2 linked regions of the Drosophila melanogaster genome follow. The protein of the gene in region 1 purifies or fractionates together with the protein of each later gene. This does not show direct contact. Each region holds a gene or a part of one and is shown in the gene's direction. Other genes may lie near its edges.

What was found. The genes of interacting proteins can lie anywhere in the genome.
Region 2: the proteins of Bcat (region 1) and Lipt1 purify together in Drosophila melanogaster (affinity purification with mass spectrometry, with the first as the bait; one large-scale study listed by BioGRID). This does not show direct contact.

Annotation. Positions count from the first base shown.
Region 1 is NC_004354.4:13,394,810-13,398,564, forward strand, and holds the start of Bcat (branched chain amino acid transaminase), read left to right. Parts: upstream 1-2,089; 5' UTR 2,090-2,461; coding exon 2,462-2,491; intron 2,492-3,755.
Region 2 is NT_033778.4:16,195,124-16,198,878, forward strand, and holds the start of Lipt1 (lipoyltransferase 1), read left to right. Parts: upstream 1-1,918; 5' UTR 1,919-2,204; coding exon of another isoform or gene 2,205-2,393; 5' UTR 2,394-2,657; coding exon 2,658-3,215; intron 3,216-3,361; coding exon 3,362-3,755. Other genes in the region: caly (calypso), read right to left, coding at 1-534, 594-786; CG44242 (uncharacterized protein), read left to right, coding at 1,348-1,479, 1,569-1,679; CG42837 (uncharacterized protein), read left to right, coding at 2,205-2,393.

The DNA of each region.
Region 1 (3,755 bases):
AAATTCCCTTTACATGTATCATTTTAAAGATATTTCATTCTCCAGTTTAGGATTTCACCTTGGATAAGCATAGGAACAATCCCAAAAAAAAAACCCTTCAAGGTCCTTTTTTGGAAGGGAACAACAAGGTCGAATATCCGGATGACCCAGTGACCAGGCGACAAACTGGTCACCGGGTGACCGAGTGCGATGCCGCAACTATCCTACCGCGTCCACTGACATTGAAAGCCACTAATTTATTTGTTTATCAGCCAGCTGAGACGGAGAGTGAGGCAGAAGCATCTAGACCAGCATTATCATTACAATTACCTCAAGAGAATCGTGTAAAATTTAGCTCTTACAACTGAGATCGCAGCTCTCTTAAGCGCCAGGCGGCACATGGCGTGAAAAATGCCCAAGAAAACTTGATTTTTCTCTTATCAGCGCAGTGGTTGTGATGTAGCTAATTTAGATATTGCATCAGCCAGGATTACATGGGTGTCAGATCAAGTGTGTGTGTGTTTTTTTTTTGTTTGTGCCCAGCTCAAATCTGTTTTGCACAATCGTCTAAGCACACAGCCATGTAACTCAGCCAAATTCAAATCTAAATCCAATTCCCAGCAGCCTTATCAGTTGGGAAACTACGGGCTGGAAAAAACAGGGAAATAAAAAACGTGCACGTCATGTTTTCCACATTTCCCATCCAATATTTTTGCGTGGTAAAAAAAGAACAAGAAGTTCGGCAGGTAGCAGGAAGTGAGGGAGGAAGTATTCAATATACTGATACCATATGTGCGTCGTAAAAAAACCTAAATTTCCAGGCCATAATCTATTAGGATGCTACTCAAAAATATCTACTTCAATATCTAATATCTTTAAAAAGTAACTAACTTACTATTATTTGTAAACTTACGATCTAAAAGCAGTTTAAATGGGCCAAAACAAATATAAGCTTTAGAATTAGTTTCTTTAAGTCTAAAATTGTCAAAAAATGTATTACTTAAATTCACATATCTCAAACTTATGTTCTTCGGACACAAATCCAAGTATGTATATAGTATATTTACTATATAATATAGACATCCCATTGTAGCTATTTCATTGTGTACTCACTTTTAATGGAAAAGTACACACGTTGGGGTAACGCAAACAAAGAACTAGAATCCGAAGAGAAGCCAAACTCAACTTGGCGGAGCAAAAATGTCAAAAAAGCTGACAAATTTAGCAAAAATAATTGCCCGAAATTGTCGAAGCAAAAAAAGCGACGCCAGAAGGAGAAGGCAGCTAAAAAACGAGAAATAAAAAAACAAAACCCATGATGTCGGCCGAAATCGCCGATCGCTGCGCCCAAATAAGTACGCAGCCCATGGGGGGTATACATGGGCTTCACGCCCCCTCCCCTCCCCGCTCACCACTCACCACCCAGCAACATAGCCCCCCCTTTTAGCGGGGGCAGAAACAACAAGTTGAGCCGACCGATCGATCGTATGAAACCCGAAATGCCGAAAAACAGCAAGAGATTCGCTAAGGGAGCCAAAAAAAATCATTCGATTTTCGGCATCTTAAGTTTTTGCTACACTGATAAAAACCAGATTCAATGCATATAAATATTATCAGTTGCTTTAATGGGCTTACCTCACAGAATGCTCACCTACTTGTGTTGCCATTAAAAAGTAAGACTTAGTTATAAACAAATACGTTAATTAAATCGTTTGCAATTAAAAACAATGATGTTTATTGACTTTTTGCATATTTCAATTTTATTTATATTCATATATTTATTATTTTTACAGGTAATAGATTATTGCAAAAACTTCACCTTTTCATTTTTTTTTTTTTTGCTTGACATTTGCCCGCACATAATATATTTTAGAGATGGTTTAGCTGACAATCATTGGCTGCAATCTCAATATATAATTCTTTGCAAGTAAATAATTCCATTCAACATATATGCACACTTCTTATCGCAGTGTATGCTCTCTTGCGCTCTCTTAGCGGCCATTCCTGTGCAATTCTCTTAAAATGGCGCTCGAACGGTAATCGTACGATTCGTTCACACACACATGCGCACCGCGGATCGGCTATATATATTACCATAACGGCGGCGAGAGCTCATTTCTTGCAGAGACTTCGTGCCGTGAAGATCGAACTGAGAAAAGAAAAAGAGCAGAAGCAGAAGGGCTGTAGAAAGAAAAAAAGAAAGTAAATCCATACACCGAAATAAAACACAACTGCGTGCTTTAAGAATTTTTTTTTTACTGTGCAAAGTGCAGCAGTTCCTTGCTCATTAAACTAGAACCAAGAAATACAATATTTAACGCGTCAGTTCGCGTAAGTGCGGCAAAGTGCGAGTGCAAGAGACGCTAAACGAGCGATACAAAAAAAAAAAAAAACGGAAATTTCGTAGAGCAGCAAAGCGAGTCCAAATCCAAAAGTTTCTGAAAGTAACGAGACAGAAGATTTCGCAGCCAAATTCAACAAGATGACGACCAAAATGGCAATTAACGCAAAGGTTTGTAATCAAAAGTCAAGCAAAAAGCGATCATTATCATCTCACAATCTCAGGCGGCGACAAGAAATAAAAATTTTAATAGGCTAGCAACAGGCCGAAATCGGAATTATTACCCTGATTTGTTTATCAATCCAAAAAGGCAGAAAGTTATAACGAATCTAAGCAAAAATCACTATTGCATATCAAGTAACTATTGCAAAGAATCGGTTATTTTTAATGTTATTTTTTAGATTCGAAAATCTTTCTTTGTTTCCAAACTATGCCAGTTTGAAAGTGGTTGTCCAAAAATAGAAATCCATTTGAGTTATAAGCAAATATTTGGGGACTAAAAAAGTTTTGATGCTTCGAGATCCGGTAGATGGATTATCTACACACTTTTTTTTTTATAGGTAGACTATTTTCGAACAACCTGACACGCTCCCAGCGCTCCAGACCACTTATGTATAAATAGAATAGAGCCCATTAATACTTTATTTTGGACATTTATGGCCTGTTCTTATCGCTTCCCATACCGCTTCGCACCAAAAAAGAAAAAAAACAGCGATAAGTACTATGGGCAGTCAGACTTATAGACGACATATTCGTTTCATTTGTTTTTCGATTTTCGAACGAGTTTTTGAACGCGCATGTTTGCTAGTTTTTCGAGTAGTTTAAATCAACATTTTTGGCTGATGCAATGGCGACCATGGATGTCAACTTGGCGTTTTTCTTTTGGCTGTCAGCTTTTTGGCTTAGTCGCCAGTTTGGCCGATTTCATCAGCCATCTGAAATGTAATCAAATAAAATATGCTACCGAAGATTAGGTTCGGAATCTAAGCAGAGCCGGAATCAAATCTAAACCGCTGACTTCTCGTCTGACCTGCAATTTAGACTATATGGGGTTACATCAGTCCAAGCCAAACGCCGCAAAACGAGACTTTGTCTGCCTTGCAAATTGAGTATTAATTAGTGTGCAAATCATTTTCGGCAAATCAACGATTTCGGCTAGGGTCTAGACCCAAATTAACATACGTACATACAATCATCGATGAGCGATGTGGATTTAATTAACGCTTTTATTGACAAGAACATAGTTATAGTTCTGCAAGGAAAGTCAAATAAGTCTAGTTGTTTTTGATAGTTTTCGGTATAAAACTATATACTCAGAGATGCAAGGTGCCATTAACTACACTTCTTTACAATTCGGGAATTGGGATTAAATAGGGTCAAGGTTCTTGCTCTTCAAGAGCTGTCAGCAGAGCATGATCAAATCGACTTATGTGTT
Region 2 (3,755 bases), on another chromosome or scaffold:
TATCCTCCCAACCGCCGTGATTCATGGGATACGGTTTCAAGCCATCCAGCTCAAACAGTTGTCCATTGATAGGCACAAAGCTAACGAAGTGAAACGCCTCACCCGTGAAGCGGCAACTTGAGACGCCCGCTCCCGTCCTTTCTAGACGGCGCCGAGCCTGCGGCATTGCGTGTGAGTTATGGGCACAGGCCAGCTCCGGAGTGTTGCCAATAGCCAGCCCCTTGTTCTCCGGACTCATGCCTTTGGTGTGGGTTTTTAGTCGACTCAGGGTGTCGCCCAGCTGAAGATTGTTCTCGTTGCAGTTCAGGAGCACCGAAAGCAACGCGTGTGTGGCACAGCTATTGGGGACTACCTGCTGGGCGAAGAAAATGCTGGAAATGGCCTCCTCATCCTTGACGAATATCTCAGCAGTTGTCTCCACAATTTTGCGTCTGGCGCGTCGCTCTTCGATCCAGCGGAAGAGAAATATGAAGCCATATGGACTCTCGATGGGTTTCTGTAGGTCGTACACCTCCTCCACCTGTACATCGTGACCTAAGGATAGTACATATTTTAATAGGATGTGTGGAACAAGGCATATTCAAATAGATTACATCCAAAATCCTTGAGAAGCAGTGTGAAGAGACCTGGGTCGGACTCCAGCTCCAACCAACCGTCTGCCAGTTGGGCCATAGGCATGGTGGTGGCTCCTGAGGCCGTGGAAAGTAGCGCATTGTGGCTGAGACTGTTGTTGCCTGCCGCCACTGCGGCCGCCTGGGCACCACTACCTCCTCCAGCAGCGTTCATATTTGTATGGCTTATACAATTGCTGCGAAAGTATCCGAGATGTTACTTTAATTTCGTTTTTCTGCACAGAGAAGGATATACACATGAAAATCTATCAAAGGAATGTTTACGTATAAGTTTATTTGTCATTAATATAATAAACAAATGAAATAGTTACCGGTTATACTCATAAAAACGTCTTCAATAGTTTGTTTTCATATGACATTTATTGTTGCATAGAGCATAAGTACGTTGGTTTGCTAGTTTTAGGAGCAATCCATATACTGGCGATGTCCGTCCAGAAGTTAGGGCCGTCGGCTGCCGGTTATCTTCTGTCCCCAATTCATTTTAAATATAAAAATATTACCGATTTGGACCAAAATAGTTTTTTGCGCTTCCTCTTATCTGCCTTAGCCATTCACAGGATCACGTAAATTTCAATAACGATAATAATCCATTGCGCGGCGAATGGCATGCAATTTTAACGATCTGGCAGCGCTTGTATGAGTTTACAGTCAGCTGTTATTCACGTAACTTTTACTTTTGCCTTGGCTTTTTGGTAGAAATTCAATTGCTGTTGCTATGGTTCGACCAACACTAGTTGCGCTGGCTAAGCGCGTACCGCTCATACACTTCCGCAAGGGTGGTGCAGGAGTGCCGGGCGCCCAGACAGCAAACCAGAAGGCAAGTTCCCAGGCCGCAGGAGGCAAAAAGGTTAACCCAGCCCATTTCATTTATACACAATACCACGGCTTCTTCTGTGCATCATAACTAATCTTCGTAATTGTCCCTTCTACATTTAGTTGGCCGGTGGACCAGCAATTGAGGACTACGAGCTGCCGGCACGATTTGCCCGCAAGCCAATTGATCCCGAAGAGGCGGCTTACATTAATAATGGGGGTATTCCAAACTGAAGGGGCTCTCAAAGTATGCTGCTTATAAAATATAACACATATTAATGTCACATCTGTTGTAGACGTCTCGGATTATCACACATGTTTAGCGTAAATTATACAAGTTCGAATTAAAAAGATGAAAATAAATTAAGTGCGGCGCCAGAGTGCCGTTGTTTTTTTTTTTTTTTAATGACCGGAGCTTTCGTCGTTCGCTGCGAATGGCATTTGGGGACCGTCGAGGAAGAACAAGAGCAGCGAGCACCACTGCTCATCTGAAACGAAAGCCAATCGGTCGTGATATTTCCACACGCGCAGCTGCTTTTCGATCGGCTCTGTGTTCGTTCGTTTGTTTGTGCTATAACTGCTACCCCCGCCCACTGCGATCATCCGCCTTGCCCCCGCCCCCCGCAGTTCCCGTGCGCCGCGAACAAAGAGTGGAAAATTTTGGTGTCAGCTAAAAAGGAAACCCTTTAGCCATCTTATTTGGGCCCCGTAACGTTGCGGCCCCCCGTAAACACCGGATTCGTTGTATCCCCCACCTGGATGGGTGTGAGGCGTAGTATGCCAGTGAACTGTGCCAACAAGGACTGCCTGGGTCTCCGTAAGCGTGTCTGTGGTCTGCATCAAACGTGGAAGTGGCTGCATCAGACGCCCGCCCTGCACGAATACCTCATCTCGGCCAGCTCCGTGGCTGCAAACACATCCCGAGCCACTAAGAACGCCACAGTCTAAAGTCCAGAGCGACCAAAGCCATTTAAAGACCAAAACGAATAGCGTAGATAGTAGACCATACATAACCTAAAGAAGAGCACACACGGACCACACAGAACCAGGCAGACGACAACCGTAGAAACCAACCAACCAACCAACCAATCAACCAGCCAAAAGCTTTTTTCGACACCATTGACCTTGTTTCGCTTGCAAGTGCATTGTGTCCCAGATCACCTGGCAACAGAAATCACACACACCCGTACGCCCCACTTCCTTGTGTAAGCCATGAGCATGCTGTTGCGACGCAATTCCAGCCAGCTGCGGCTACTTCTCTCCTCCGCCGCTCAGGCCACGCGCCTGGCATCCAGCGGAGTGGAGCCACCATCTGCTGGACAGCAGGAGATTAAAAAGCAGAGGCGCCAGCCACCGCCCGTGGTTCCCGATTCGGAGATCAAGAAGTCCGTGTTCATCTCGCAGTCCAGCGATGTGTTCACCAACCTCGCTCTAGAGGATTGGCTGTACAAAAACTTTGATTTCAGCCGCCACCATGTGCTGCTGCTGTGGGCCAACGACCCGTGCGTAGTCATTGGTCGCCACCAGAATCCCTTCACCGAGGCTAATGTTTCGCAGCTGGTGGAACGCGGCATAACACTTGCACGCCGCAATAGTGGCGGTGGAGCGGTGTACCATGATCTTGGGAACCTCAACTGCACCTTTTTCTCGCCCAGAGAGCGCTACGATCGCAAGTACAACCTGAACATCGTGACCAGGGCCTTGTTCCGCGAATGGGCCATCAAGGCAGAGATAAATGAGCGCGACGACATTGTAGTGATGAATAAGAAGGTGAGGAGGAGCGGTGGCTCTTATCAAGGAATGATGCGACCCCGGCTGATCCCTCACATTGGCATCAGCTCACTTAACCAACAGCTGGGGCTGTGCATCTGGTCTTTATTTGCCCACTCAACGAGTATGCCCTTGTTCAATTACAGATTTCCGGCACTGCGGCCAAGCTGGGACACCCGAACTCGTACCATCACTGCACCATTTTGGCCAGCGCCAACAAATTGCACTTGGGCGAATCTCTGGTGCGGGAGCCGGCCAATTATATTAGCAAGGCCACGGCTTCGGTGCCGTCGCCCATTCGCAACCTGGTTGATGTCAATCGCACGGTGAACGTTGCTCAGCTGCGTTCCGCCGTGGGTTACGAGTATTTGAGAACGGCTGCAACTACGCTTGAAGACGGCGGCAGCACACAGACGATGCAGCAGCGCGGCTTTCAGCTGGTCAATCCCACAGAGAAATGGTTCCCCGGCATTGAGGAATTGCGCTCCAACTACAGCTCTTGGGACTGGGTCATCGGCAAGACTCCCAAGTTCACCGTGC